Linked DNA regions of Struthio camelus. The protein of the gene in region 1 binds, or shares a complex with, the protein of each later gene. Links are inferred from orthologs where the notes say so. Each region holds a gene or a part of one and is shown in the gene's direction. Other genes may lie near its edges.

Region 1 (9,769 bases):
TCCTTGCAGACCAGAATGAGGTACTCTCCCTGAGACCAACCTTGTGAGCAAAAGGAACTTAAACCCTGAAAGCTACTAAGAAAAGGGTTGCGGTCTGAAAGAGGAAAAACCTAAGAAATGCTGCCCATTGTTTTTAATGAAAAACTACCAAGCTGAGAGACAAGAGACCAAGAGCACGTTCTGCCTCCCAACTGCAAATTTCATCCATCTGAGCAACACAGGTGAGGAGAAAGATATACACAATTTTTCCTTTTTTCTTCTTAGGTTTCCACTTCAACTTTGTGTTTGGTACTGCTGACGTATGAATTAATAGTCCTTTGTTTGAGCAAGTTGTTTCTAAGCTATTTTGATAATTTAGTCCTGTGTGGTGCGCAGGAGCATAACCAAAGTCCTGTTCTCAGAAAGCATGCAAGTTACATAATTCCATCTTAGAAGAATAAAAGCCTGAGGCGTAACATGTCAGAAGATATTCAAGTGAGACCTGAGAAAGGGAAGACAGTAAAACTACCCCAGTAGCACTGACAGAGTTGTTGCATTTTCAGTTACCAGTAAAGCAGTATCTCACAGAAAAAAAAGATGAAGAATTGATACATGTGGATCCTATTGCAAGATTGGCCCTGAATCGTACTTTCTACATGGTTACTCCTTTTCTAATGTCATGACTATTTTATCTGGATTGTTTTACACATGAAAATAGCGTGGATCAGAATTCCTTTTTAATCCTTACAAATTTTCTTATCCGAATAGGTATAAAAAAAAGATTCATGCTGTAATAGAGGTAGAACCATAGTAGAATTGGAATGTGTAATCTGTAATTTATGTGGCAAGCATTATTTACAGCATTGGAACAGGTGATTAACATACAGAATGGAGATGTCCACTGGTATCACTCATCATTTATGTAAGTATTTTCCCATCAGGCCAAAAGATAGCCTCCAAAATTACACCCATAAATTTTGCTCACAAAAACGGCAACACAAGCACACAATTTTGTGTGGAAATACTGGAATAAATTCTCTGATTTGAATGTACAAATAAAAAAATAATTTCAAAAAGCATGCAAACATCATTTTGGAAGCTGCCTTTGAGAATTACTCTAGTGTTAAAAAATTACATCTTCAATTTGTATTTCCTTTAGAAATAATTCTGAAAAATTATCCTGTAGAAACAAAAGCCTATGCTTGCCCAGTTTAGGCAAAACAATTAAATTACTGAGCTCTGTTTCTATCAACAGAATTTATTTCTCCTCTTTTCATTTTCACTTATAGATAGAATGTGTTAAAATGAATTTTCCATAATTAAAATGTAAAGAGATCTGTGAAGTGTAATAAGCAAACAAAAAGCATATCTATGCATGATGACGGGTCGAGAATCTCCCACTCCTCCATCAAGCTCTATGTATTTTAGAAGCTACCATTTATGATCAATAATCAAGTCTCTATTTAGAAATAGAGTCATATTTCCTGACACAATTCTTATGTGTGCTCTCCCACACATACCTGCACATGTGTATGTACAGTCATACAAATGCAACATGAATCACTGTTTTTATGCATACCGAATCAAATGGTTCAAGGGAATTGATGCAAAATGCAAGCCTTTCATATCTCTGCCATTTTGCTCATTTTAGTAATGAAAAGACATTACTATCTGAAGCCTGTTTGTCAGAAATGAATAGGCATTCTCATTCCAGGTCAGTGGACAACTATCTGCATCACAAATGGGCTTAGGAACAGAGGACTAGAAGGGACTATCCAGATCCTGATGGACTGTCAAGTCCAGCTCTCCCAATCACAGGCAACCATGCATTAGAAATTTTGTCCAGAATAGCCTACAGCATTCTTCCTCCATCTGCGAAATACCTACAAAACCGTACGACAACATGAAGACTCCTGAGAAGCAAAAACCAAAAGCCTCAAAAAAAAAAAAGTATACGTAGAGAACGGGGCATCAGCAAAAGACATAAAAATGTCTTAAAATTGCAAACTTTCCCTCAGAACAAATTACCTTCCCGAATGACTGCGTGGCTCTCCACTTCCTTTGCAAGAAATCTCTTCTGTAAGCATAATTGGGCATAATTATCTACTACAGCGCAACTACTGTAATTTAAACATATCTTGTCATACTGTGTTTAAGATTTTACCCTCTTTAAAGTGTCTCTTGCAGATAAATAGCTATGAGAGAAACTGGTACCATGATTGGCTTGTGTGATTCACAGTTGTAGACTGATAGACTGCGCAATCTTTGATGAATTACAATACAATGGCTTTAACTCACTCTAAACCAGCAAGCAGACAGGCTGAAGACTAAGGACCTCGGCTCATGAAGAGATATGCCTTTTGATTTTAGTGCCCCCAAGCAGGCTCATCCTCCCCTGCCTGAACAGATAGCTAAGGTGTGTGTGAAACAGTTATCTAACAGCCTTGTATTTCAAGGCAACCTTTTATTTAAGACAATCAAACCTGTTTGGTTTTCTGCAGAATGACGAGAAACGGATGGTTCAGGAACACGGCTTCCAGGACAAGCCAGCTCTGTAGGCATGTAGTAAGCTCATGAGATACCTCAATGAAAGTTGTCTGTTTGTGAGTCACACCTCTAAACCAGTATCTGAAGGCAGTGGCTGAAACCTTTTGGAGAGGCACAGCCTGCAATACCTGTTCTGTAGATAAAAGGGAAGCCTTAAATCTCCAGGGTGGCCAACCTAGCAAATTCCACATGCAGTAAATCCAGGAAAACATAATTTTAAGTACTCTTCCAGTAGATGCAAACACTTGACATCATTAACTTATTTTGTCAAGAGATTCCTCCAATATTCATACATACTCTGATAGATATATTACAAAAAACAAAAAACACACAACCTGAGTTTGAGACTTACATCTGGCATTACAGCTGTCACTCAAATTGGATTTCTGTCTACTGTACTGCTATCACAAAGTTTTGCAACAATTCAGGGATCTAACTTAAAATGTAAGTAAGAGATTATATCTGAAAAACAATAAATGCACAACTGCTTTTTAAAAATCTGCTTTGCCAAGAGTTAAAACTGAATGTTAGATAGAACTGTAAGCCTGTAACTTACTGCACCGTTCAACTCAACACAAGGGTATAAATGAACATTGCACTGGTTTTCTGGATGCAGAGATGTGTCTTAATTTGCATGTACTATCTGTAGAACAAAATGAGTTAAACTGTCAAGAGAAGTGAAGAGAGAGAAAAAGGCCTAACTGGTAGGGGCACAAGCAGGCGACAGCATGGGAACAAGTATTTTTGACATACACATTAGTCTATTAAACTATCTGGCTATGCACTTATTGTGAAAAGGTAAGTAGCAAATGAAGACCGCTCATGTAATCAACACCCTTATCCTTCCTATTGTTGTTCTCACCATGGACAAGGCTTTAATAACGGTCATATACAGTTATTACTACTTATCAGTAACAGTACTTGTTTTTATATGGTAGATCTTGTTACTGTACAAAATACAGTTCATCTAAAGATGAAACACCTTTGTCTATGCTGCTTTAAAAGAAATCACTGTGTTCAGCTCCAGGATCAGACATTTAAAAAAAGTAACCTTATTATGCTAGGGAAGTCAGGGAGGAAGGAAAGAGTAAAAAAGTTTTCCTTTGCTGCTTAGTTGTCAAAATCCTGGCTGAATACGGTAACAAAATGAAATTGCAGTAACTCCTCTATGTTCAGGAACAGGGAGCGTCTTAAGACAGTAATTGAAAAAAGGCTAAATTTGTTGAGAGGTTAGTATTCGTTTTTGGTAATGATTCAATACTGTTCATTGGACAATGAAAAAAATCTGCTGATGTTGAAACGACTCGGATTTAGATAGGCTAATCTGCATGGAATCAGGAAGCCCGCAGGATTAAATTTTAGTAGGAAATGATTCAGTGCAGAAGACAGATAGGAATGGGTAAAACAACTGAAATATCATTATGTACCTGAGGAGAGATGAGTGGAGAAACACCAGTACCGAATGAGACAAGTAGTAGCTATTTTTTAGTAATTAACACAATTCCAGATCTATCTGGAGCAAGCCTTCTTTAGGAAACTACCCATATTCTTACTGAATGAGTACAGTACGCAGACATTTGCAAGAGAGGCAAAAGAAAATCCATCTTACTTAAAATGGGTGATCTGCAAGTCGTTTCAAATAGGATGTGATGATAATTTATAAATGCTGCATTTCACAGCAATAATTTGTAACTGGGATAATTTGACCTTATCCATACTACAGCAATAAATGGAGCATTTGCTATCACAGATAAAACTAACCAGATGAAACAAATCAGTAATGCCCTGAAAAATCTCCCTCGTGTGGAAAAGACTGGGAGAAAAAGAAAGGAGAGGAGACACGGACTGCCCCTTCCCATCAAGGGACACAGGAAAACGTTACAGAAGTCCCTTACCCTTCAGTGACATACTCCAAAAATGACCATTCATTAAAAATGATCAGGCAACTTCCCCAGACATACCATGCATTTAAGAAAAGCATTCTAAAGTTCCCTACTTGTGAGGTAAATTAAATGTACCATTAAACTACACCGAATTTTAAGGACTTAAACTCTGCGACTTCTCATCTGTTTTTCTGCACATCAGTTTAAACAGCGAAGCAGCGCCCTTGCCCGCACCGCCGGCCCCTCAGGCCGGGGGCTGCCCCTAAACACCCCTTTAGAAAAACAACACGGCATCTTTGGCCTAACGCACCCAGCTTTATTTCTTATAAAAGGAAAACGATGAGCTAAGGCCCACAGCACAGCTAATGGCCAAAGCTAGAACTATTTCCACCAACTCTTCTAATTACTTTGTAAACTCCCAGAGAACGGAGCTTTTAAAACTTCGCGGGCTGTATCCCGGCACCACGTTATTGCCGAAACTTCGGCCATCGTGACCTCGGTAGCCTTCCCGCAAGCCCAGTGCCGCCGTTGCTGCCTGACGGACAGCGAGAAAAGCGAAGAGCGGCGGCGCTGCCGCCCCCCGCCGCCTCCCCGCGGCGCGGCGGCCGCCAGCCCGGCCACCATCTTAACTCGGGCCGCGCTGGGCGGGGCGGCACACGGCGCCCCGCGGCGGCCGGAGGGGAGACAGGAGGGAAACGAGGGCCATTGCCCGAGTGACTACCCCTTGGTAGCGTGCCACCGCCTAAACCCAGAGCGCGATCTGTCCCCGGGTGCGGAGCGAGAGGCAGGAACCGCCTCCGCGCCCTCCGAGGGGAGCGGCGCCAGCAGCGCCGCCGCCCGCCCGCTCCCACCTCAGCGCGCTCCCCCGCCCCTCGGGCACGGCGCTTACCTCGCTGGCAGGCGCATGCGCACGCGCACCGCAACGGCCGTGCCCGGCCGGGAGAGGGAAGACGGGGGAGCGAGGGAAGCGGTTTTTCCCGGCATCCCGCGCGCGCCGCGCCGCCCCGCTCCCCCCCCCCCCGGCCGCGGGTGGGTGGGCCGATGGCTCGGAGGCTGTAATGGCGGCTGGCGGCAGCTCGGCGCGGCTCTGACATCCGGATACTGCTCGGCGCAGGCCCCCCCCCCCTTCCCCACTCCCGTCCCGACCCACCCCCCCCTCCTCCCCGCCCCAGCCAGCTCCGCTCACCCCCCTCCCTGGCCCCTGCTCCAGGCCCCCGCCGCGGGACGAGGAGGAGGGCTCCCCGCAGACAATGGACGAGCACCCCGGAGCCGGAGGAGGCGGTGGGATGTCGGCCGCCCCGAGACCGCAGCAGCCGCCGCCGCAGACGGCTGGGAACATGAACCTGCAGTCGGGTGGGGGCTGCGTGGGGGCCGGGGCCGGCGGAGGAGGAGGGCAGCAGCAGCAACCGCAGGGCCCGGCGGCCCCGGCCGGCCAGGAGGCGGCGGGCCCCGCCGAGCTGTCCCGGCCCCAGCACTACACCATCCCGGGGATCCTGCACTACATCCAGCACGAGTGGGCCCGCTTCGAGATGGAGAGGGCGCACTGGGAGGTGGAGCGGGCCGAGCTTCAGGTACGGGGGACGAGGGCGGGCTCCGCGGGGAGGGAGCGAGGCGCGGGCTGGGACCGGCGCGGGGGGCCGGGCCGCGGTTCGGGTGCGGGAGCAGAGCCGCGCGGGGAAGCGGAGCCTGTCGGGGCCCGGAGGCCGAGCCGGCCGTCAGAGCGGCCCTGCGGCTCGGCGGCGGTACCTGGGCGAGGTGCGGCGGGCGAAGCGGCGTTGCCGGTCGGCCGGGCTGGCGGAGGCGCAGCCCCTCACGGCCTGAGCTGGGCTCCTTTCCCTGGGGCAGCCATTTTGGTTTTTAGCATGGCGCCCGCCTGGGCTCCGGGCTGCCGAGGCAGCCCCTGCTCGCCAGGCCTCGCCCGCGCTCGCCTGGCGGGGCCCGCAGGGCGCCGAGCGGCGGGCGGGCGGGCGGCCGCTGCCTGGGCGCCGGCCTGCTGCCCCTGCTGCCCGGCCGCCCGGGGCAGAGCGAGGTGCCCCTTGACAGCTGCGGTCAGCTCCCCGAGCACAATGACTCGGGGCCCTGCGGGCCGGCGGCCTCCGCAGCCCTGGGTGCCGCGTACGGAGAGCAAGAGCCTCCGGGCCTGGGAAGGCTGAAGCCTCCCTGGAGCTCAGCGAGCGTTGCTGTGTGGGGAGAGGGGGTTGTGAAGAGTACCTGCTGCCCGAGGAGGCTGAAGGCTAGGAAAGGGTATTCAGGTAAATCTCACGTAAAGGGGTTTCCCAGGCGTCGAGGTCTGGGGCAGGTTGAACGTGTCCCGTCTCTTCCTTTCTCGCTTCTTGAGAGATTTCACATCAGAGAAACAACTGCTGAAGAGCAGTGAGGAGTTGGTAGGTCTGGAGCACGATGGTTTTAATACACATAACAGCACAGACTTAACGTTAGGAACAGAAATTGAACAACCCTGTAGGAGACAGAGAAAGCGTTTGATTTCCAGTGTAGATCACTTGCAAATGGTGTTTGCTTTGAGTGATAGAAAGGGTACCTCAACTAATTGCTTTTTGCACATAAAAATAAAACTGCATAGACTGTCACATTTATATACAAATTACAAAATCTACTGAATTGGAGGTATCCATATATGAATGAATGGATGAGACATTATTGTTGACTATCATTGTCTGTGGCTTTGCCCTAAAAAAATCAAAGTTTATTACTTTCAAATCATTTTTTGTGATGTATGTATTGAGTGAATGTTTACTGTGTTGAAGCAGCATTCCATCAAAGTGCACTGTAATTAATAGCATGTTGCAACAGCAATCAACTTTTGTGGTGGGATATACTTTCAGATTTCAGAAACTAGAACTATACTTGAGCCTGGGCAGTTCTTTCAGGACTTCTAACCTCTGTAATTTGCAGTGTTTTTATTAAAGCTATAATTAAGAAAGAAGCCCCCAAAAAAGTGAAAAATGAGAGGACTTCACTATTTACTTAACTTACTGCAGGTCTTACTATTTTAAGCTTTGTGACACGATTGTTTCTAAAATCAGTTTGGTGCATATTCGTGGGCATTTTCAGTAGGGAACAGTTGGCTATTTCTCTTGTTTTCTCAGCAGTATAGGACTGCGTTTATAAATAAGTTGCCTAGTGGGCATGCATTAGCAAAGAAAATAATCTGAGAATATTTATGCATAGACTTGTTATTTTGAAACTAATACCTCATTCTGAGCTCTAAATGTAAAGCTCAGTTCTAAGACCTTGAAACCTGTATCCAACTGAAAAGTGCTGCTTTTGGCCTCTGGACACTATGATGTGTTCTTGCTAAGTCTCCTGCTTTTGCTTGTAATTGTTTGTCATCCGTGGTCATACTGTTTCTGTTACTTGCATGTTATTTCTGGATGTACTATGGTAGTTCTGACCCTGGCTATGTATGTGTTGAGTCACTCTATTTCATGTGTGCATCAAGTCATGGGATGCAACAGGCATATCACTGCCGTGTATATGTATGAGGGTGTCTTTTTTTATAACATGGCAAGCCCGGGATAGAAATGTAGGGGGCATTGCTATTGGATTTTAAATGTCAACGTGTATGGTGATGATAACTGTTACAGAAATGCGTTGACAATATTTTTGAAAGAGATGTGTTCGACAGGCCTGCTTTGTTCTTCTTCCCCTCTTTTTCCTCTTGTACTCTCAAGCTGTGAAGTCACAGTTCATTCTGTGACTAATAAACTAATAAACAAATAATTCTGTAGCTAATAAAGCCTTAACGTTTTAGACCCCAAACTATTGCCTGTTGAAACTGCTGAGACTGTTGTTCATCTGTGTGATCCTAAGTAGATGTAAGAGTTTTTAGAGGATTTGAGGCCTCCTGGGTTGAAAGGAAACAAGGTTGCAAGTCTCATCCATGCATGTAACTTCTTCCGTTTTTCAACATTACAATAAGCTTTCTAAACAGTCTTTTTTAGTGCAGGTAATTACAGGTTTCTTCCAACCTAAGTTAACTCAATAAGTTTGCAAATGATGCTTTACAAAAGGTATATGGAAAACGAAGTGACAGCAGTACCTTGTGATTTTATTGACCTATTCAGAGGGTTGAATTTTTGGTTGTTACTCTCTGGAAGAATAAGATGCTTTCTTATCTGCAGTATGAAACTAATATCACTGTTGAGTGATTCCCCCCATATGTTTTTTTTTTCTCCTTTCCTTTCTCCTGTGTACTTAAAGTGCCTCAGAGAATTGTTGACCCCTGGTGAGAGTGCCCTTCACATGCTAGAGAAGGTGGGGGGTGTCCTGTAGTAACAGCTTATACTTTTTCAGATCATATAATGATATTGAACACTTTGCTCAGTTGTTCTACCTGTGCATGGGACAAATTTTTATAATTAATTTAAATTACAAGCTACTTATACCACAATCATAATGATTGGTCTCAACTATTTGGTTTTGAAGCAGTCCTGTGCTAGGTGACTTAAGTCACCACATTCATGTCAGTGAAAGACTCTGACTCTAAAAAGTTAATAACTTTGTGCTGTCTTTTCAAACTATTCAGCTCCATGTATGCACAAGTGAAGTGGCATAGTTGTCAAACCTGTGTGTGTAGAGTCGAGTACAGAAATGTTGAATATCGGAGTGCAGTACTTAAAACATAGCATCTTTTTTTCATCATTTTTAATACTGGCTGCCACAGTAACTTTTTTTTTTAAAATTTTCTCCCTGCTGTGTGTGAAGGAACTAATTTGCCTGTACTCAGTGTGTAGATCTTTCAGAGTTATAGGCTGGATTTGTTTTCTCTTCTGTGAACTAAAAGAATGATTCTCACTGTAACAAATAGTGTGTAATTACAGCTGTAGTTTTGATCTGTCCGTATAATGACCTTGATGTTGGTAGCTATTACACTGAAATATATTCAGTCCCTGTGAGCTAGCTAAGATGTTTTTGCACTATAGAGGAGGTATAGCAAGCCCATGTTGCTGGATGTTACATATTTGATGGAAACAATTGTTTCCTTTTGGGGGGGGGTAAGTGCCTCGGTAATCTCATAAAAGATATATGATTGGGGAAACGCTTTGGACAGGCACATACAGAAGCCCTCAGAGAAGGAAGATAAAGCTGTGTTAAGGAGGGGTTCCATGGTGGGGGAAGAAAAGAAAACTGAAGATCGTGCAACTTGCTGGGTACCTAGGAAAGTCAATAGGATTCCAATCTCTTTTCGGGCTTATAGATTGATATGCTTTGCAAGAATCAAAGTCCCAATTATATGATTAAAATAGTGCAGTTTTTTCATGCCTTCTGAAGTAGATAAAAACAAAAGTTGAATACTCCCTGATATTTTAAAATCGCAGAAGAATATACGGAGAGAAACT
Region 2 (9,661 bases), on another chromosome or scaffold:
ATGAACCTTAGTCCTTGCATTGAAGGCGATGGTGAACAAGCATCCCTTGCTCACCTTCTTTATCCTAGGCATCTGCCTCAGCCCGATTATTTCCCTTACAAGTACAGGGAGTGTCAATTAAAAAATAGTTCAGCTGTTTCTAAGAAAGAGATTGCAGGAAGGTAAATAATACACGTGTCCCTCTGCTTTTGAGGTAGGAGCTGGAATGTAGTAGAGCCATGATCCTGTGTCAGGGATGTGCCCATTGTCGCCTCCTGGAGAAACTGCTCAGTTCGGCTCTATTATGTGAAAAAGCTCCATTTGTGAACACTTGGTTGACACGGGCAGACTTTGGCAGCTGAATTCTCTAAATAATGCATTTGTGGTCAACGAGCTGCATGCACATGCTGTCCTGCAAAATGACTCTTCAAGGGGAACGCAACGCTGGGGAAGGCTTTCACCAGCCGTTTCTCCTAGTGGTACTGGGCTGCCATCACCATGCTGGTACCAAGAAAGCCTCTGTTTTACGTCCTCACACTCACCTACCCTGCACACCGGCAGCAGGAGGCTGGAAATAACCACGGCAGAAGTCAGCAGAAATAGGGAAGGGAGGATGCTATGGGAGCCAGAGGATGAAGGGAGGCAAGGAGGATGGATGCAGGACGTGGAAAGGAAAGTGATGGGCAGAAATGAGTGGACTGCGGTACCGTTTCTGGTCTCACTGCACAGTTTTATAATTTTAAATGATTTACTGGTTATAAAAATATCGAAGTTGTAATATGGGATTCAAGAGACCTACATCTGTCTTCCCTGTTTGCTATTATCTACAGTTTCCAGCAGCAGTGCTAGAAATTCTGCAGCCATTGAATAACTTGCCTCTAAGAAAAAGTGATTCCTAGTGCCCATGAATCAGAGACTGATTTATATCAAAGACCAGAGAAATTATATCCTTCCTAAAATATTCTCATGCTTCTTTTTTTATGACTGGTGTTCTAATTAATAAAATAAATATTCAGGCTTTTTTTCAGGTCAACTCTTTTCGGTCAGCTCTTAACCTCCACACCACCTTTGGCAGAATGTTTTGAAGGTAAAAACATGAAAGGCGTTTGATTTTAACAATTTAGGATACTGTCTTCCACTTCTACAGGATGACCCGCTAGCTGAGCTGCTTGTATTCTGAGAAAGGGTAGAGGAGGAGAACTGTGTTTTCTCGTTACTGAATATAGACCAGACTTTAGAGAGGAAGGTTGTGCTGGCCACAGCCAAGGAGTCCCCTCTAAACGCAGCCCCAGGGTCAGCACTGCACCATCCAGCTGAGCTTGCCAAAGGCACTGAAGGGTTTTAAATACCTAGATCTGCCACCAATGTGTAGAAGCTGGCATGGCATTTCCTAGATGGACATGTGAGTCTGATGGGATCAAACACCCGCTCCTTCCCTCACCCCAGCAAATCGTTGCATGGAGTCCACGGAGTCCACAGCTATAAAATGCAGTGATTTTCTACTTAACAGTGTAAATAATTACATTTTATTTGTTAATGTTTGGGAGTTGAGAGAAACTTCTACCCCTCGGAGGTAGGTCTAAACCAGCTAACATGGTACAAGCGCTGTCAAAGAGCCTAGTGTTCTTACTAGCTCCCTGCAGTTTTCTAATGTAAAAATTATTTATATTTTCACACCAGCAACACAAAACCAGTAGTTAAATGCATGATACAGTAGAAGGTCTGATTTGGGTCACAACTCAATTATGAGGCCCTGTGAGCTGCCCTAGGTGAATTGTAGATGCGTTTTAAATCTTGAAAAATAGCAGCAACGAGTATTTACAGGGCCGGGTGTGGGAGGGGGCAGGGAAGGCCTTTCACGCAGCAATATCAGCCACTGACCATATGACTTTCTTATTGAACAAATTCGAGCTAGCTAATTACAGAGGGGTATATAATATTATAACCCTTTTCTTAGATGCTATGGTGCCATCCTACTTCACTTCACAGCCTGGCTTGATGATTCAGTCGTTACATGACTGCCTGATTACTTTAAGATTCCCGGACAGATTTGCTTCCCTGGCTTCGCTCACCATATCATCCCAGGTCCTTCTGAGCCAGCATGGCATAAACAAGTGTTACCTTTTTGCAGAACATTTTGCTTATGTTCTTGTCACTGCAGCTCTCTCAGCCAATCTGCCACGGGCGGGGAGCAGATATATCTACTGGGAAAAATATATTATTACATGCATACCAATTGCCCTGCTCTTTCTCTGTTAAGTAAATATGTTACCATCCTTTTCATGCCATATTAAGCCGGATGCAGTGAAGAAGTTAGAAAGGCATAAAAGGCTGAATGTCTTGGTATGTGGCCCAAAACAGGAAGCATGGATTGGCAATTAGGACGCTCTCTGAATTAAAGTGAATAGATACTTTCAGAAGGAAATATGTCTCAGATTAGGCTGAGATAACGAGTTAGCAGGATTTGGGGGGGGGGGGGAAGAAATGCAGAGCCTCAGAGTCAGAACAGAGGGAGCTACAACGGTAATGCATTAGCAGTGTGGAACAAAAATCTTCACGTTTCGTTTCATGTGGGGATTTTTTTCAGAAATCATGTTCTAAAGATCATTAAAAGGTAAGATGAGAAGCGATTTAAGTAAGCTTGAGCAGAGTGAAGCAGGCAGGAGTCAGGAATTCCCTCAATGGATATTCATTCATTTATTTGTTGAACCGTTGCACACAACAATTAAGAAAGCTTTTCACTAATATAAATGAGCCCTTTTCCTCAAAGGTTTATTGGTTAATCAGAAACATTTTTGAATCTTAGTATATGGTATGAACCCCCAGAAAATACTTACCTTAAATACGCCACCCATGAAACCGATCTCCTTATAGGCTCCTTGATAACTTCTGTAACTGTCACTTAAAAGCCTTTTAAAGCTGTGTATTTTTAAAAGGTGCAAAGGAAAACTAAATATTTTAATAACATTAAAGGTCTAACAAAGGGGAAAGTCAAAAAAAAAAATTCCAGCATGAGCCACAAGCCTGTCCTTAACTAGCATCACTGTGAGGTTTTTTTGGGTTCAAGCCACAGTGAGTTAAGGATGGAAAGTCTGCCTAACTTTGAAATTCTTGGCTTTAAACTGTTTTAGTGCAACCTCACCTTACACAGAGGTGTTTTGTGCTCCTTGCTGCAGCGCAACACTTCTCCATGTCGTAACGGAGGAAGATCGCCTTCAGTCACGTCCCTAACCAAGGGAACCACCCTCCGAACGAGGTAGGTCTGGGGTGCACAACAACCCAGCCTCCATCTAACATGAGCAACTTACCTTATGTTTTCTTGGCTTTGAGACCCACAAATCTGTGAATTTGAGGGACGGCCACAAGTGCTCACAAGGACATTTGTAGCTGGGCATGAGCGTAATGGGCCAATGTGATTTCTATATTCTTGCTCAACGGGGTGAGGGTAAGACCAGCCTCATAAAAGATGTCATTTTTTTAGCTTCACATGAGTAAATGGCAAAACCTTCACGTTTAGGAAGGTGAGTCATACACATGAATAAGTGACTCATACACAAATGTCCCCTAAAACACTGTTATTTTCTCCTCTCCAGACCCTGGCAGGATCTGAGGGAGGGTTGACCCCCACAGGGAAGAAGGTGGTGGGGCCGAAGTACACATTAGGCTGGTCCCACAGCAGCTGGAGCTGGGCAGTGGGAGAGCTGGCCTTGGTGGGAAACCTCAGACCTGTCCACACCACCCTTCTGAAGCCGGCTGCCAGGAGCGCCCATGAGGCAGGAGGTGCCACCTCTTCTGCAACAGCCTTGAAAGGACACTGCCAAAAAAATACAAAATGTGCATGACTGCTTGTATTTTTGTGTCAGCGTGCCTAAGAAGACAGGGTGGCGTGACAGGGCGTCTCAGGGCGCGGGACGGTGCCACATGCCCGCGGCCCCACACGCCGCGACGGCGTGTCTCAAGGCGCGGGACAGTGCCACACGCCCGCGGCCCCACACGCCGTGACGGCCCGTCTCAAGGCGCGGGACGGTGCCACACGCCCACGGCCCCACATGCCGTGACGGCCCGTCTCAAGGCGCGGGACGGTGCCACACGCCCGCGGCCCCACACGCTGTGATGGCCCGTCTCAGGACACGCGGGACGGTGACACACGCCCGCAGCCCCACACGCCGCAACGGCGCGTCTCAAGGCACGGGACAGTGCCACACGCCCGCGGCCCCACACGCCGTGACAGGGCGTCTCAGGGCATGGGACGGTGACACACGCCCGTGGCCCCACATGCCGCGACGACGCGTCTCAAGGCGCAGGACGGTGACACACACCCGCGGTCCCACACGCCGTGACGGCGCATCTCAGGGCGCAGGATGGTGCCACACGCCTGCGGCCCCACATGCCGCGACAGCGCGTCTCAGGACACGCGGGACAGTGCCACACGCCCTCAGCCCCACACGCTGTGACAGGGCGTCTCAGGGCGCGGGACGGTGACACACGCCCGCAGCCCCACACGCCTTGACAGGGCATCTCAGGACACGCAGGACGGTGCCACATGCCCGCGGCCCCACACGCTGTGACAGGGCGTCTCAGGACACGCGGGACAGTGCCACACGCCCGCGGCCCCACACGCCGCGATGGCGCGTCTCAAGGCGCGGGACGGTGCCACACGCCCGCGGCCCCACACGCTGTGATGGCCCGTCTCAGGACACGCGGGACGGTGACACACGCCCGCAGCCCCACACGCCGCAACGGCGCGTCTCAAGGCACGGGACAGTGCCACACGCCCGCGGCCCCACACGCCGTGACAGGGCGTCTCAGGGCATGGGACGGTGACACACGCCCGTGGCCCCACATGCCGCGACGACGCGTCTCAAGGCGCAGGACGGTGACACACACCCGCTGTCCCACACGCCGTGACGGCGCATCTCAGGGCGCAGGATGGTGCCACACGCCTGCGGCCCCACATGCCGCGACAGCGCGTCTCAGGACACGCGGGACAGTGCCACATGCCCTCAGCCCCACACGCCGTGACAGCGCGTCTCAGGACACGCGGGACAGTGCCACACGCCCTCAGCCCCACACGCTGTGACAGGGCATCTCAGGACACGCGGGACGGTGCCACATGTCCTCAGCCCCACACGCTGTGACAGGGCGTCTCAGGACACGCGGGACGGTGCCACATGCCCTCAGCCCCACACGCTGTGACAGGGCGTCTCAGGACACGCGGGACGGTGCCACACGCCCGCGGCCCCACACGCCGTGACAGGGCGTCTCAGGACACGCGGGACAGTGCCACACGCCCGCGGCCCCACACGCTGTGACAGGGCGTCTCAGGACACGCGGGACGGTGCCACACGCCCGCGGCCCCACACGCCGCGACGGCGCGTCTCAGGGCGCGGGACGGTGACACACGCGCGTGGCCGAGCGGGTCCCCGCGCCGAGGCGGCCGCCGCCGCCCCTCCCTCCGCGCCCGCCCGGCGGCCCGAGGCGGTCGGAGAGGCGGGGGCAGCTGACGCCGCGGCCCGTGCGGCGGCGGCGGCGGCAGCTCCGCCCCGCGAGGCCAGAGCTGAGACGGAAGGAGCCGCCGCCGCCGCCGTACAGCAGCCGCTGCCTCTTGTCGGAGCCCGCCATGGCGCTCTGAGCCCAGCCCCAGCCCCAGCCCCAGCCCCAGCCGCGCCGACAGCCGCCAGCCCTCGCGCCTCTCCGGGGGGGGCCCCGCAGCGCGCCGGCCGCCGCCCCCGCGCCGCGCCGCGCCCGGGGAGGGGGGGCATGGGCAGGGCGAGCGGCGCCAGCCGGCAGGGCCGCTGCTAGGAGCCCGGCGGGCATGGGAGAGCGACGCTAGCGACCCCCCCTCCCTTCGCCGCCCGCGTCGCGCAGCCCGGCCCCAGCCCCGCGAGGTGAGCCGAGCCGGCGGGCGGGCGGGCGGCTCCCGGGCAGGGCGGGCCGCGCGGGGAGGGAAAGGAGGGAGCGCGGCCCGCGCTGAAGCCGCCTCCCCGCCGCTTTGTCCTTCCAGGCCCCGCCGCCGCCGCCGCTGCCGCCGCCTAGGAGCCGGGAGGCCGAGAGAGGGGAGCAGCGGGCGGCGCCCGGCCGCCGCAGCCCGCCATGGCCCACTCGCCGGTGGCGGTGCAAGTACCCGGCATGCAGGTGAGCAGCGCGCCGCGCCGGCCCCAAAATGGAGGCGACGGGCCCGGGCTGGGCCCCGGCTCCGGAAGCGGCGCTCGCGGCCCCGCCGGGCGGAGGCCGCCGCTGGGGCGCCGGGTGCGGGCGGGCGGCGCGGCCTGGCCGCGGAAGGGCCTCCCCTGGCGAGCAGGGCCCGGCCGGGCCGAGCCGAGGCGCCGCGGGGCAGGCGCCGGGCCTAGGTTGGGGGGAAGCGGGGGCGCCTCGTCCCTGCGCAGCGAGCCCGGGCGGGGGGCGCCGCGGGGCCCCGGCGGGCTCCCCCTCTGGCATGAGGTGAGGAGGGAGCTGCCCGCGGCCGCCGGGCCGGGCACCTGCGGGGGCCAAGGGCTTCCCTCCCTTCCCTCTTTGTTCCGAGCTGGCCGCGCCGCATCCAGCCGCACGTAAGAGCTTCTCCAGCTGATTAAAGGCAAAAACCGAAGTTAATCGCAGGGTGCGTGGGTGTGCTGTAAATGACATGTCAGCCTGGCCGGCCGGCGTGCTTCCGGCAGGACTTCCCCGCCGAAGCGGGCTCGGCGCGGGGCCCGTGGCGCTGGGTCTGGGGAGACCGCCGTGAGCTCTGCTGAGGGATGCTCAAGGTGAGGTCCGGTGTACAGCCGAGCGGCCGGCCACCTGCTAGGAGCCCTCATCTGTCAGGGACTTCCGCCGCTCCCTGACTAGGAAGGAGACTTAGTGTGATCCTGCTTGTGGTATTTGCTTAAAAATACGCACAAGCCCGTATATAATTGACTTTTCTTAGGAAAGCCAGGATACCTCTGCCTCTTACTTCTTATTCCTCTGAACAGGCTAGTGTAAGCTTGGTCTGAGGCCTTTACTGAACCTAAAGGCGCTAAGGACCAAGCTCATTTCAGTGCTGGTTTATGTTTGGCGGATACTGGCAACCCAGGCAGTATTTTCAGCTTTCTTTTCACTTGTGGGGTAGTCATGCCTGTACGTCTAGCGTTTCTTCGATTCAGATAATATAGAAGCCTGTACGTTGTATCTCTGTATAGGTGAGATATGCACAGATAACAGTTCAGGAGGTTTCAAAACTGAAAGTTAAAATTTATTTTGGTCAAATACCTTCATCAGTTTTAAGAAGCGTGGAATGAACGTATAAACAGTATTTATGTATTAAATTAGGTTAGTTATAATGTTAAGGTTTGTGTTACTTCTCAGCCTGCAATTTATTAGAAATCAGAAATCTGTTAACTTCTATTTTTTAATTTTTTATTCCACTGACTTTCTGTTGATGAAAGAGGACATAAACCACACTTTCTCAAGTCTCCCCATTCTACTGATATATCAAGGTTGTTATTGGTACATATTTAACAATGGGAAGCTAAAGAATTTCCTGGTAAAGATTCAGAAGCTTTGATTGAGCTTCTTTTGTTTATATCTCTTTTTTTTTTTTTTTTCTTCCCTCAAGTGTTCCCCTATTTGGGAGACTTACATTTCGAAATCTAAGTTTATTAATTGCTTATTTTCCTATTTCCTTAGCTGCCCTGTCATCACAAAAGACATTGAAATTATTTAAAGCCCTGTTTTGCATTGTTAAACCAATAAACTTTATATAGTGGCACAGTTAGTTCCACTGGTATTGTTGTTAGTTTAACCCAGACCTCTTAAGATATGTTTGTAGGTTTAAAGCATTTTTTTAACTGTTACATATGTACAGCTGCATAGAATTAAGATCTGTTTTCCCTTGGTGACTTTTTTTTTTGGTGAAGACTAACACACAAGTCCTGAAACTTCTTATAATATGAAGAAGTTGAATTTAGTGCAAAATTATTCTGCTAGTTCTTCTTTAAGAAGAGTCATAATACAGTTTGAAAACATATATAATCTAGAAGAATCTGTTAGTGTGAAGTGTAGGTTAAAAACAGAAGAAGCAACTCCTATTTGAACTATTTAGTCAGGATCATCTAAGTGATTTATAAAAGTGTCCCTGCTTATGCTCAGTGGCTCAATGTTAAAATAAATGCATGATGATTAATTGAAGAAGGAATAAACGAGTTCTTGTGTAATGGAAGAAGATCTAATAGTTACGTTAAAACTAGCACTGTGGGAAAGTGCCTGTAGTCTCAATCTCCTTGTCTTGTAGCCTGTGTTGAGGGAAGCATTTTTTTGAAGGTAACAGCTGGAAACTGAATTTGCCAGAGAATGTGTTACAGGTTTGAGGTTTTCAGTTATGCTATAGTCCTGTTTTTTCCATCCCACTTCATTATATAGCAAAATCTGGTTATCAGAAATACGTTATTACATAATTCCCATAGCCATTGCAAAAGGAGAACTTTGCCTGTTTGTCACTGGAGTATTACAGAAGCTCTTTAGACTATTTTAAGACCTTTCATCTAATGAAGAGTCAGCTTCCCTTAAAAAAAAAATCAAACAGAGAGAACAATGGAGGGTCACATAGAGTTATTTTGGCGAACTCAGGCAGTGACTTGCAGTACCCTGTCAGTAATGGAAGACCCAGAGGTAGTGTTATTTGTTGCCCTTAAGAGTACTTAAAGAACCATTTGTGTACATAGTGGCTGCATTCTCTTTAACCTGCCTTTTGTTCCTAACAAAACCAAATTTTATACCTAAGAATTTTTGCCTCTGCAAATGACTTCCTACGCACATTCTTTTTCTCACTTTTTGGAAAGGTTCTCTTTGTTGTAACTGTATGATGTTAACTTACCCAGCTGTCCAGCTTAGCCCATTTAGTGAAATCAAAATACTTAATGAATCTATAAAATAAGTGCTCTGAAGTTGAGTATGATACCCCAGAATATGGCATTTTATGTAGCATCTCAGGTTAGAAGGAAAAATGAAAGGTTGATGGAGCTACCTGAGAACAGTTAAGGTGTTTGGGTTGCATGAAGCATATTTGCCATGAGTTTGAGTGTCTGTTTGGAGTTTTGTTTGTTTGTTTGTTTTTTACTGTAATGTCACTGTAACTTTGTGCCTTTTTCTAATGGGATAACAATATTTGAAAGAGTTCTTAGTCTGGAATGCTTTGAGATCGTACAGTGAGAAACTGGTCCGCTGGCACCCTCTTGAAGGAATCTGGTTTAACTGTTAGGGAGTGTTTCTGGATATGGCTTGCAAGAAAGAGGTTAGAGCCTACCAGTATCTTTCATCAATCAAGGGACTGTGCTGAAAATAGAAGTGTTACCAGAGCTGGAGTGAAGGTGTTGGACATCTTATTAGGGGTGTTACGCTACTGTTTTTTTCTTGCCCAGCAGGCAAGATGCATAGTTCAAAGTGTTATGTTTGTTTCGAATGATCAGAAAGTTTAAAGTAGTTGCTGTGTCGTGCATTTCAGGTCGATGCATCTTCTGATGAGCTTATGTTATTGGCATCATCTCATATTGCTCTGAAACATCTTAAAACGGAACTTTCCAGCCTCTCTTATCTGGAAGCTTATAAATGAGTAGCAATTAACCTTTCTAGGGTGGAGAGCGAGGAAATCTTGCTGTCTGTCAGCATGCTAAAGTTCTGAACAAGTCCTTAAACTCAGCAATGAAACATCACTCAAGAAATTGCTTTT
Region 3 (10,178 bases), on another chromosome or scaffold:
TACTGCAGTTCAAAACCTTTAACCAAAGAAAAAGATGGGGGGGGGGGAAGAACATCCCTATTTTAAATTGTCTACTTAGTTTGCATGTTTAGGCAGACTGTTCCACTGTGAGCTTGTGAGCTTGACCAGTATCTACTATACAGAAACTCACGGGCCAAGTCCAGATACAAACCATAAGCCATGGTGAGGAAGAAAACTGCTGGTGAAGTCCAACTCTTGCTTCCCTCTGCACAAGGGCATTCTTTCCTAAGGCTTGAAAGCTTCACTTTGGACTGGAAACAAGAGTATGCACTGGGAGGGTGACAAATTCAAAAGGTTTTATCTTCCTGACAATAAACTTTCATTCTCTTCTGTGGTTTTAACGCTTAACTGTGTACTGCAGTAATAGTACTTTTCTGTATCACTGATCTCCAGAAATACAACTCAAAAAACAACTTCAGCCTCTCAGCATGCTAACGGAGCTAGAAATAGCTCCTCGGCATGAACGGTGCAGCATTCAGAGAGTTACTCAGTTGTACTTTTTATAGTAAAGTTTTAACTCATGCTAGCCTAAGTAACCCTACCTTCAGGAAGCCTACTAACACCTAGCACTCCCTCTAAGGCTAACTGCTGTGCTCCACATCTGTGGTTATGCTAGGAAAGTACTAGTGCCATTGTGGGCTCTCCAAGCTCAGGATGCCTAAGCTGCTGCTGCAAGCGATGCTCCATCTGCTCAGCACGAGGCAGAGGGAGTAACGCCATGTCACGGCTTATGGTGCTGGCATTAGCTATGTCCAGTCATGTTTGCTTCCTGACAAAACTGCCCTTTTGAACAAGAGTACAGAGAGCTGGAGGGGCATGAAAAATTCTTCCTTATGCCCTGAGCCCAGCTGTTGCTTACAGTGAGGTACTCTCCTGCTTCACAGTCAGTGAAACCAGGGTCGCTTCAAATCACTCCTCCTCCCTGCAGCTTCTTATGTTTATGTGGCAATTCAAGGCCCCACAGCACTGGGTAACTTGCACGTTTCAAGAGATAGTACTTGTCCCATCAGAGAACTACCTTCGTCCCCGAGAAGGGTAAAGACACTAAGTGCTCAAGGAGCAGCAGACAGAGCTTGACGTAGGCTGAAGGTGGAAGAGGAAGATCAGTTCAAGGAAACCTCACCAAGTCACGAGGGGTGAAGGCAACAGTTCTACCTGTTGCCCTTTCACAGATCAGAGATACCAAGAGCAGAGCTTTATGTACAGAGAGAAGACAGAGCAGTACAGAATAAGCTGAGATGGCTAGCCCAATCTAACCATGCAATCCTGTCACTTAGAAGCTGTTTCCATCTGTGTGCACAGTCATGGTCATCTCCTGCGACACACGCTTCACTCTCTGCTGTTTTACCCTCACAGCGTCTGAAATGCTATTATTGTCCCCAGTGCAGACACGGGAAACTGAACCAAACTTGGCCTGGGCCACCCAGCAAATTAGGTAGAGCAAGAAACCTCAGGGGCACAGACTAGTGATCTAACTAACCACTAACCATCGCCTTCCTCTGGTCCCCACTCAGCCACTCGGTTCTCCTTTGCAAGCGGGAAGAAACTTGTGCGCTATAAAGCTGAACAGTGCACAGTACTCAGTTATTGGGTTTGACCACTGCTCCATATCCTAGCATGAAGGGCTGAGGGAGGTAGACCCAGCGACCCGCACAGAAAAGGAAATATTTTATATAAGAGCAACAGAGTAATCAGGATTCGGCAGGGAGGGGAGAGCTTTTACTTGCTGCTTTCTTGCGAGCAGGATGGGGCTGCAATACACTGTTGCCACCTGGTGGCAGCAACAAAAAGCAAATCAGATTTGCTTCCAAAACCCTCCGACCATCTCTGAGGGCCATTAAAAAACCTCCCAGCTTTGTCTGGCAAAGGACACTTGAACGACTCTCCAGTCCCATTGCATCAGTGTTAACTCTATGAGAGGGAAAACAGGATGGAAAGCCCTGAGTTACTGCAGGCCGAGTGAGCTAGCCCCAGGACTTGGATAACAGCACCAGAATCGTCCATCTCCAACAGACTAGCAGCTACACCTCAACAGGGACCGAGCACATCTCACAACTAGCCACGCTGTACCTCTCTGCTCAGTTATTTGAGGGATACAGCTGTTTGAGGTGCAGTGCAGGCATCTCAACAAGTTTCTCAAGAAGTAGAGACTGAATTAAATCCTGGTGGTCATCTGTGGGGGTTTTGAGTAATTCATACCAAAAAAAGCCATCAGTGCTTGAACCAACCACCAACAGACACCGCCTTGAAAGAGTTTCATAAGCTGAAGCAGTTAAGATGTAGAGCATTAGTTCCTGAGGTCCTTTCTGCACAGTTTGGTTTGGCCACTGAGTAATTCCAACCCAAGGCAAGGCTGCAGAGATACCAGACGCTGTTTCCTCACTAGCATTCTTTGCTTTTGACAATTGATTCAGCACCAGGCTGACCCTCTTTAAGATGTCTTATTATACTCATTTTTCTAATGAGTATAATACCCTCTCCACCTGACCCAAGTAGCAATGCAACAGGCAGAGATATGTTAATGCAACTACAGCATGTTTACCTTTAAGCAGGGAAGCAACTTCGAGACATCTCACTGAAGAGTTTCTTGTTCTCGAAAGCACCTGGTGAAAGGCACTGACCATCAGGAGAGCTGGCTGCAGGATCCCTTGTGATCCTGTTTGATATTTCCTATGGAAAAGTAAAAGATGTGTTACTTCAAGGGAATGTTTAAGAGCCTATCAGTCAAAAAGCTTCTTATAGCAACTATTTACACCTATCTCTGAATTTCACATAAACATAATGGAGTGGAACAGTTTATTGGACAAAAGTTTGAAATGCCTCATTCAAGGTTTCTCTGTTAGTGAGAGAATTACCCGTCACCTCAAGCAGTATTTCTGCCACACTGTCAACAACGTGCAACATAGTTTTCAGAAGTAAATCTTTTTACAGGGAGAACGTTAAGCAATTTAATTAGCACTTTATGCAGGCCAGTTAATTTCCTCTACCTACCCTTAAGTAGTAGCAATAACCTCAGATGAAGAAAAACTGAATATATATATATATATATATAAAAAATGAATGAGCATTATAACCAAGAATCGTGTTCAGGTGTCAACCTCATGGCTCCAATTTGGGCAAAACATTATGCTTTGAAACCCTTCTTCAGGCAGAGGCTGATCTAGAGCTAAAATCTTCAGGTTTCATTACGAAATAAGAACAGGTGTCTGGAAGAGATGACCCTCCAGCTCTTAATCTAGTTTTTTTTTATTCCCAATCTCTAACCTTCTGCTTTTAAGAGTGCCAGAAAAAAAAAGAACTAACAAATCAGCTTATCCCTTCAAGAAAACAGTACTTTTTAGAAGTTATTTGCTCTCTGTAGTGAGGAGAAAACCCAACAATATATACAAAAGTCATTCGTTTTTAGCCTTATTTTCCATACAACGAAGCATATACAGCCATATAACACACAGATGGCAAACATGCATGCGTGCGTGTTTACATAGTTGACCCTTTCCCTCTCACAGGTTTTGGCCAGTTGTAACCAGCTTGGGAAGAGGCGTCGCAACAGCCAAAATACCAAGTTCCTACAATTTTGTGAAAGCAGACAGGGAAGAACTTATTAATGGCACCACTAAGTTAAAGGCTAACCAGGCCACCTTTTTCTAGGCGTCAAAGGACTTGCACAAAACAAAGGGACGGCAGCAAGGCTGGCTCAGCTCCTAGAGCCGCTCTTTCCATCAGCCATACTTACTTTCATGACTAACCTCATCAGGAACAAGGTAACCTTCCACGGAGTCAGAAGGAACTGCCTGTTCGTTTTCACACTGACAGGGCTAGGGGGAAAAAAAAACACAGTCTTAATCCCAGAGTCCCTTTCAGATAGCCCTGCTTCCTTAAGGCCAGGTGAAAGCTTTAACCCTAAATGGAAAGCGATACACCTTCCGTAGGCCTGGTGCCTCCAACACATAATTAACTCCCCACTGCCTTCCTTCAGTAGAAATATTTGCTCTCTCTCATTTGTCTGGCTGGCTTATTTTAAACTTAAACCTCTTGGAGGCAAGGACTGTGTGTTTTTTCTGGGTAGGTACAGCCCCTAGCACAATAAGCACCAAACTTTTTGGGTGCTAAAGCAACAATTATACATAAAACTTGCAGCATGATTGTTCTGTAATCGCCCTTGCAAACGTTAAAAAATATACGAGCTGGTTTCCAAGAATACAGCATCGACCAAAAAGTAGGGAATTAATGGAAGAGGACATTTTTATTTTGCTTCTGCTCCAGTTGATATGTCGCTGAAGGTCAAATGGAGGAGGTGATGGACACAAACATGCCATTGGTGGCCATAGAGAAGTTAAGGCCGCCTGCATCCCCAGGGACAACACTTTGGCACTGCGTGGTTTTGAGTACATTAATAACCCTCTCCTCGTAAGAGAAAGTTAGAGGAATAACTGCCTCACAACGAAGCAGCGATCTCTAGGCCTATGTGGTTTGCCAAAAGCAGACCGATTAGCTATTGACCTGTAAATGGCTTTTTCCAGATGGCAGCTGGACCACAGTTTTCATTCCAACTTTCCTGCTCATCCAAGTATCCTGTTGCTAAGAGGCAGACACCCCACCGGTCCCAAATGGGAATTCAGGTCGCACCAGCCTACACCTGAGCGTGCTTGTCTTCCTGCTCAAAAACTGCTGGCCAGCTTTTGCAGTTTCTTTTAAGATGGGAACTCAAGTACTGATCATCCTTATTAAAGACTTACCCTAAACCAAGCCTACAAATCTAGTTGATTGCCATTCCTCCCAGCAGTTCAGGGTCGCTATTATCACGCTCCTGAACTATTCAACACTGGGCCAGCCTAAGGTCTAGGGGTGATGTTAGTGAGACAGCTTTTTGGCTCTGTTCAGACTTGCTGTACTTATTCAACCTAATAAACATTTCTGTGCGGCATTTGCCACCTTGCCAAGAATGCAAGTACATGGATAAACTCCTGAGTCTGCATGATATAAGAACCCAGGCCATCAGGGTGAAACACCACCTGAGTCACACACACATGGGGACTCATAACTTTCCCTACCACGTGGGTGACACGTGTGTGTGTGTGCAAAAACATGAGCAGAAAGGCAACGTTTTCACCCCTTCGTCCTTTCTGCAGGAGAACTGGAGCATAACCGCATTTTTCCTTCCTTTCCCTAACTGCTGATTTTCTTTCGCGCGTCAGGTATTTCAGATCAAATAAAGCTTCGATTCCTCTGCGTCTCCCTAGACTTTTTAAGTCAAGGTGCTGCGCTGGGACAGGGATATGGGTGTGAGGCGAGGTTATCATCATGGAAAAAGCTCTGTGCGTGGGCAGCCACGTCGGAGGCAGAAATTTGTGCCCGTTTTGTTAACTGAGAGGAAAACTTCCAAGGCCAGTTTTTAAGGTGACTGGCAACAGAAAGGCGGAAAGCGGCCTGACCGGGCTGCTTCGCTTCCTTAGGAAATATTCCCAAACCCTCCGGTTTCCCCGAAAGAGGGTGAATTTAAACGGTGCTCTGCTGGGGTTTGTCGGGACGAGCTCTTAGCATGGCCGCTGGGAGGATGAGAAGGCCGAACCCTCAGCACACCAGGGCGGGTTTCCTCATTCAAAAGCTTAACCAGCCACTGGAGAGAAAGAAAAAAAAACCACCACCACAATGAGGAAAGCGCTGCTGACCAAAACGCTCGCTTCGCCCCACCTCCGCTCACCCAGCTTTTTTTTTAGCCACCCAAATTTGCTCTTTCCAGCCCAGGCAGGGCCTGTCTCCCCGCAGCAGAAGCCGAGGAGCCGCGGGGAGGGGAGGCAGCCGCCTCCCGAGCCCCTCGGGCCTCCACACAGGCCGCGGCCCCAGCGGCGCCGCCCACCCCCGACCGCCTCGCCGCGGGGGCCACTGGGATCGGTAGTCCTGGCCCCGCCCGGCCTGCCCGCGCCCGCCGCGCCGCAGGACTCTCTCTCCCAGAAGCCCTCGCGCCCACGCCCTCCCCTCCTCCTCCTCCCGCCGCGCCCCCGCCCGATGCCTGCCGGGCCGTGTAGTCCGCGGGTGCCGCGTCGCCAGGGGCGGGCGGCGGCGAGGGAACTACGTCTCCCAGGAGGCAGCGCGGCGCGGCCACCTCACCCCCCCTTCCCCGCCCCCCCTCCCCGCCGTGCTCTTGCGCCCGGCCCTCCCCTCCCTTCGCCCGGTGTTCCCGCTGCCGAGCTCGGTGTCCCAGGGCGGCCCCGCGGCGGCGGGGGCGCGCGCGAGGCCCGGCATGGCGCCGCGGCGGCGGGGGCGCGCGTCGCGCGGGGGCCGTTGGCCGTAGGGGCGGCGGCGGCGGCGGCGGCGGGCTGCCCGCCCGGGTAGGTGCGGCGGGGCCTGGGGGCTGCGGGGGGCCGAGCGGGGCCGCTGGGGGGAGGCCGCGTCGCGGGGCCGTGCCGGGGGGCGTCCTGAGGGGGCTGGGGAGGGCTGGGGGAGCCCCGGTGGGAGCACTGGGGAGGGCTGGGGGAGCCATGGTGGGAGCCCTGGGGTGGGGTGTCCTGAGGGGGCTGGGGGGGGCTGGGGGAGCCCCGGTGGGAGCCCTGGGGTGGGGTGTCCTGAGGGGGCTGGGGGGGGGGCCGGGGGCGCCCCGGTGGGAGCCCTGGGGTGGGGTGTCCTGAGGGGGCTGGGGGAGGGGCTGGGAGAGCCATGGTGGGAGCACTGGGGAGGGCCAGGGGTGCCATGGTGGGAGCCCTGGGGTGGGGTGTCCTGAGGGGGCTGGGGGGGGCCCGGGGGAGCCCCGGTGGGAGCCCTGGGGTGGGGTGTCCTGAGGGGGCTGGGGGGGGCCGGGGGAGCCCCGGTGGGAGCCCTGGGGTGGGGTGTCCTGAGGGGGCTGGGGGGGGCCGGGTGAGCCCCGGTGGGAGCCCTGGGGTGGGGTGTCCTGAGGGGGCTGGGGGGGGGGCCGGGGGCGCCACCGTGGGAGCCCTGGGGTGGGGTGTCCTGAGGGGGCTGGGGGGGGGGCCGGGGGCGCCACCGTGGGAGCCCTGGGGTGGGGTGTCCTGAGGGGGCTGGGGGAGCCATGGTGGGAGCCCTGGGGTGGGGTGTCCTGGGGGGGCTGGGGGAGCCCCGGTGGGTGTCCTGGGGGGGCCGGGGGAGCCCCGGTGGGAGCCCTGGGGTGGGGTGTCCTGAGGGGGCTGGGGAGGGCTGGAGGTGCCTTACTGGGAGCACTGGGGAGGGCTGGGAGGGGTGCCCGGGGTGGGGTGGCATGCCCTGGGAGTCTGTGCCCTGAAGGGACTGTGCTGGGGCTGTGTTGGGGTGGGCCAGGGCGTCGTGCGGGGCCGTGCAGCGTTGGGGTGGTTTGGTTGCTGGCACAGCGGGGCGCCCTATGGGACGGGTTGCTGAGGAGCACCGAGCTTGTTGGGTCTGGGGGTGCTTTGGGGTGGCGTGGGGTTGGGGTACCCTGACGAGGGGGAGGAGGTGTGCTGGGGAGCTTAGCTTGGCAAATGGATGCACTGGGGAAAACGGTACCCTAAGTGAAGCACGCGTTGAGAGGATTACAGGGGAGCCCTAGGATGGAAGGGGTATGTGAGGATAATCCGGTGGAGCGTCCTGGGGATATATCCTGGGAGCTGTGGTGACGGCAGAGTGCCGTAGCGGCAAATATACCGGGGAGCGTGGTGAGGTAATGGCAGGGAAGAGGGTGCTTGAAGCTGTGTCGGTGCCTATCGTTAAAATGAGGTTCCTGATCTGTCTGGAAGGCACGTCTGGAGAAAAATTGCGAGGTGGGGTTTGCTGATGCAAGGAGGGGCTGGCACACTTTGAACGGGTTGATGGGGTCCGAGGCAAACTGCAGACTGAGCAGAAAAAGTTGAAGGTAGTTTTTTGGGGGAATGAGCCAGGCTCTGGGAACCTTGAGTTAGAGTTGCTGTGTTCTTGCTTGTCACAGCTGACCAGTGGATGAGAAAGCACTGCCTTCCCGCTGTGCTACAGCAACCCAACCTCCCTGATTTCGCAGACGCGGATGTCTGACCATCCTGTAGGCATGGCTCACTTGAGGGAATTTGCCAGCCAGGTAAGTGAGGATTAAAGATTTGTTTTAAACTCTTGCATCAAGAGCAGACATAACGCTTCCAGCAGGTAACTTTTTGCCACTGTTTCTCTCTTGCACACGTCTCATTACTCCTGTTAGCTGATTGATTTCTGTCTTATTCCCTGGTGGTGTTTGGCTGACAATGTTAGGTTGCCCCGCTGTATAGTGAGGGGATTCTTCTTCCAGTGCAGTGCTCCTCTCTGAGGGTAACTCTGCTCTTAGGGAGAGAGAGATCTTTGTCTCTGAGTGTTTTTTTTAGGAGGGCTAGGCTAGAAATGGGATCAGAAAAGCTGCGTTTACAGACTGCGCCAGATGTAGTGTTTTGGCAGCGTTCACAAGAGTAACCTGGGAAGAATAGTGCCTGTAACCCTATGCATGAAGGGTAGCAAAATTTGGTACTGAACACGTCTCTCTTCTGAGAGAGATGTCAGCCCCAGGGGATGTGGTTAACTCCTGTTGTTGTGATGCCATTTTCTTAAGAGGACATGGAAGGATGATGTCGTGACCTGGGACTTAGAACTGAACCACGTTAATAGTATCAGCTTGAATCTTGTTTCTTCTGAAATTGGTTGTGGAGTATGTTTGACTATTGGCAGACGTCAATACTGAATATAGACCCTTTTAAACCATGTTTTAGGAGAATTCTGGCATTTTTCTATTCTGTTCCTAGATGTAGAATTAAACGCTAAAAGCTTTAGTGGTTTGAGATAATGCTTTCTCCAAGCCTTTTCAGCATAACATTGATTTGCAATGCATCTTAGTTTGCATGCTGTCTTTCACATAAACTGTTTCCCCAAACAGTTGTGGAATTAAATGCAAATATAGAACCTGAATGAGTCATAATACAGGGAGAGAAATGAAAGGAATAGGAGAGGATGCTGTTTAGTTAGGACTGGGAAAATTTGAAGTGGCTGAGTTCAGTAGCTACAGAGAAGGTTCCTCTCAAGCTTGTAAATAAGTAGGTAGGAGAGTCGAGCTGAAAGCAGCTGATAAAACCAAGGAAGATAATTGTGAACAGAATAGTAGGGAATTAATGAAACCATTTGTGGATGGATTTATGTAAATACCGACAAGCTGTCAGTTTAGGTGCGATGAGCTTTTTATATACAGCATTCACTGATAAGCTTATCAGAGTTCCAGGGCTCTAAACTCTTAATTTATTATATAAATATCATGCATTCTCAGATTCTGTCATACCATGACTCTCTGTCTGGTCCTAGAATAGGAAAGCAGTCTGTGTTGTCCGCTCCTTGGATCTCTTCAGGAATCCTGGATGAGACCTTGTAATCTATGCGGTTGAGGCTTGTTGGAGGGCAGTAGGAATTGTGCTGAAGTTCTGCTTACCTAAATTTAGAGAGGTGTTGTGAAGATCAAGAGACTATAGGACTTAGACTGGGATGTCAGAGGCTTGGCTTAGCTTGGATTCCCAGCAGCGCTGACATGCTGGGTTACCTTGGGCAAATCACCAAGTTGTTTTACCTCTGTGCTTTCATTTCCCTGCCTAGGTTGTTTAGGCCTTCTTTTTTTTGATTGCCCTTTGCTGTGTATATACAGCACAGTGGGTCTCCACTCTTTGCTGGGAGCTCTGTCCGCTAGAAGATGTGTTTGCATTACAGTATTTAAAGCTGTGAGCTGATTTCTGAGTCCAGTTTTGCTGCTCCTTAGGTGACCTTGAGAATGTCTCTCAGGTTCTCTGACTCAGGAATGTTTTGTTGCCTTGAAGCAAAAGACTACTATCTGTGAAGCAATTTGGCAGTCTCAGAAAAATGATTATATTTGTATTTCAAAATGTTATTAACTGGAGGAACTTACCTCCTTAGCTATACTCGACAAGTTCAAAACTGTCTCAGGCGCAGCCATTGAAGAGAGTTGGGTACTACTTTCATATGGACAGGGAAGCTTTCAAATGTTTCCAGGTACAAAGCTGATTTCCCCAGAAAGAACATAGTGCTGCTTCAGACATCTCAGTGGCCCAAAAGTCAGAATGTAGGATGCAATGTGGAGAAGTGCTGGATGGGAAGTTGGAAGGAGAGGAGAGAATGAAGGAAAGAAGGTCAGTAGCTGAGGTCTATTAAAACCAACTTCTTCCTTCAGCTGTGTGTGGCAGAGGAAAATGATATTG

What was found. The genes of interacting proteins can lie anywhere in the genome.
Region 2: STRN3 (region 1) and STK26 share a complex: the UniProt entries of both Homo sapiens proteins name them as parts of the core of STRIPAK complex. The link is inferred for Struthio camelus from reciprocal best matches to the Homo sapiens genes STRN3 and STK26.
Region 3: STRN3 (region 1) and STK25 share a complex: the UniProt entries of both Homo sapiens proteins name them as parts of the core of STRIPAK complex. The link is inferred for Struthio camelus from reciprocal best matches to the Homo sapiens genes STRN3 and STK25.

The regions. Positions count from the first base shown.
Region 1 is NC_090946.1:53,286,029-53,295,797, reverse strand, and holds the start of STRN3 (striatin-3), read left to right. Parts: upstream 1-5,452; 5' UTR 5,453-5,659; coding exon 5,660-5,980; intron 5,981-6,155; exon of another isoform or gene 6,156-6,284; intron 6,285-9,769. UniProt on the Homo sapiens protein: Calmodulin-binding scaffolding protein which is the center of the striatin-interacting phosphatase and kinase (STRIPAK) complexes.
Region 2 is NC_090952.1:24,283,203-24,292,863, reverse strand, and holds the start of STK26 (serine/threonine-protein kinase 26), read left to right. Parts: upstream 1-5,750; 5' UTR 5,751-5,867; intron 5,868-5,983; 5' UTR 5,984-6,072; coding exon 6,073-6,114; intron 6,115-9,661. UniProt on the Homo sapiens protein: Serine/threonine-protein kinase that acts as a mediator of cell growth. Modulates apoptosis. In association with STK24 negatively regulates Golgi reorientation in polarized cell migration upon RHO activation.
Region 3 is NC_090950.1:3,605,972-3,616,149, forward strand, and holds the start of STK25 (serine/threonine-protein kinase 25), read left to right. Parts: upstream 1-6,267; 5' UTR 6,268-6,350; exon of another isoform or gene 6,351-6,354; intron 6,355-7,912; 5' UTR 7,913-7,987; coding exon 7,988-8,038; intron 8,039-10,178. UniProt on the Homo sapiens protein: Oxidant stress-activated serine/threonine kinase that may play a role in the response to environmental stress.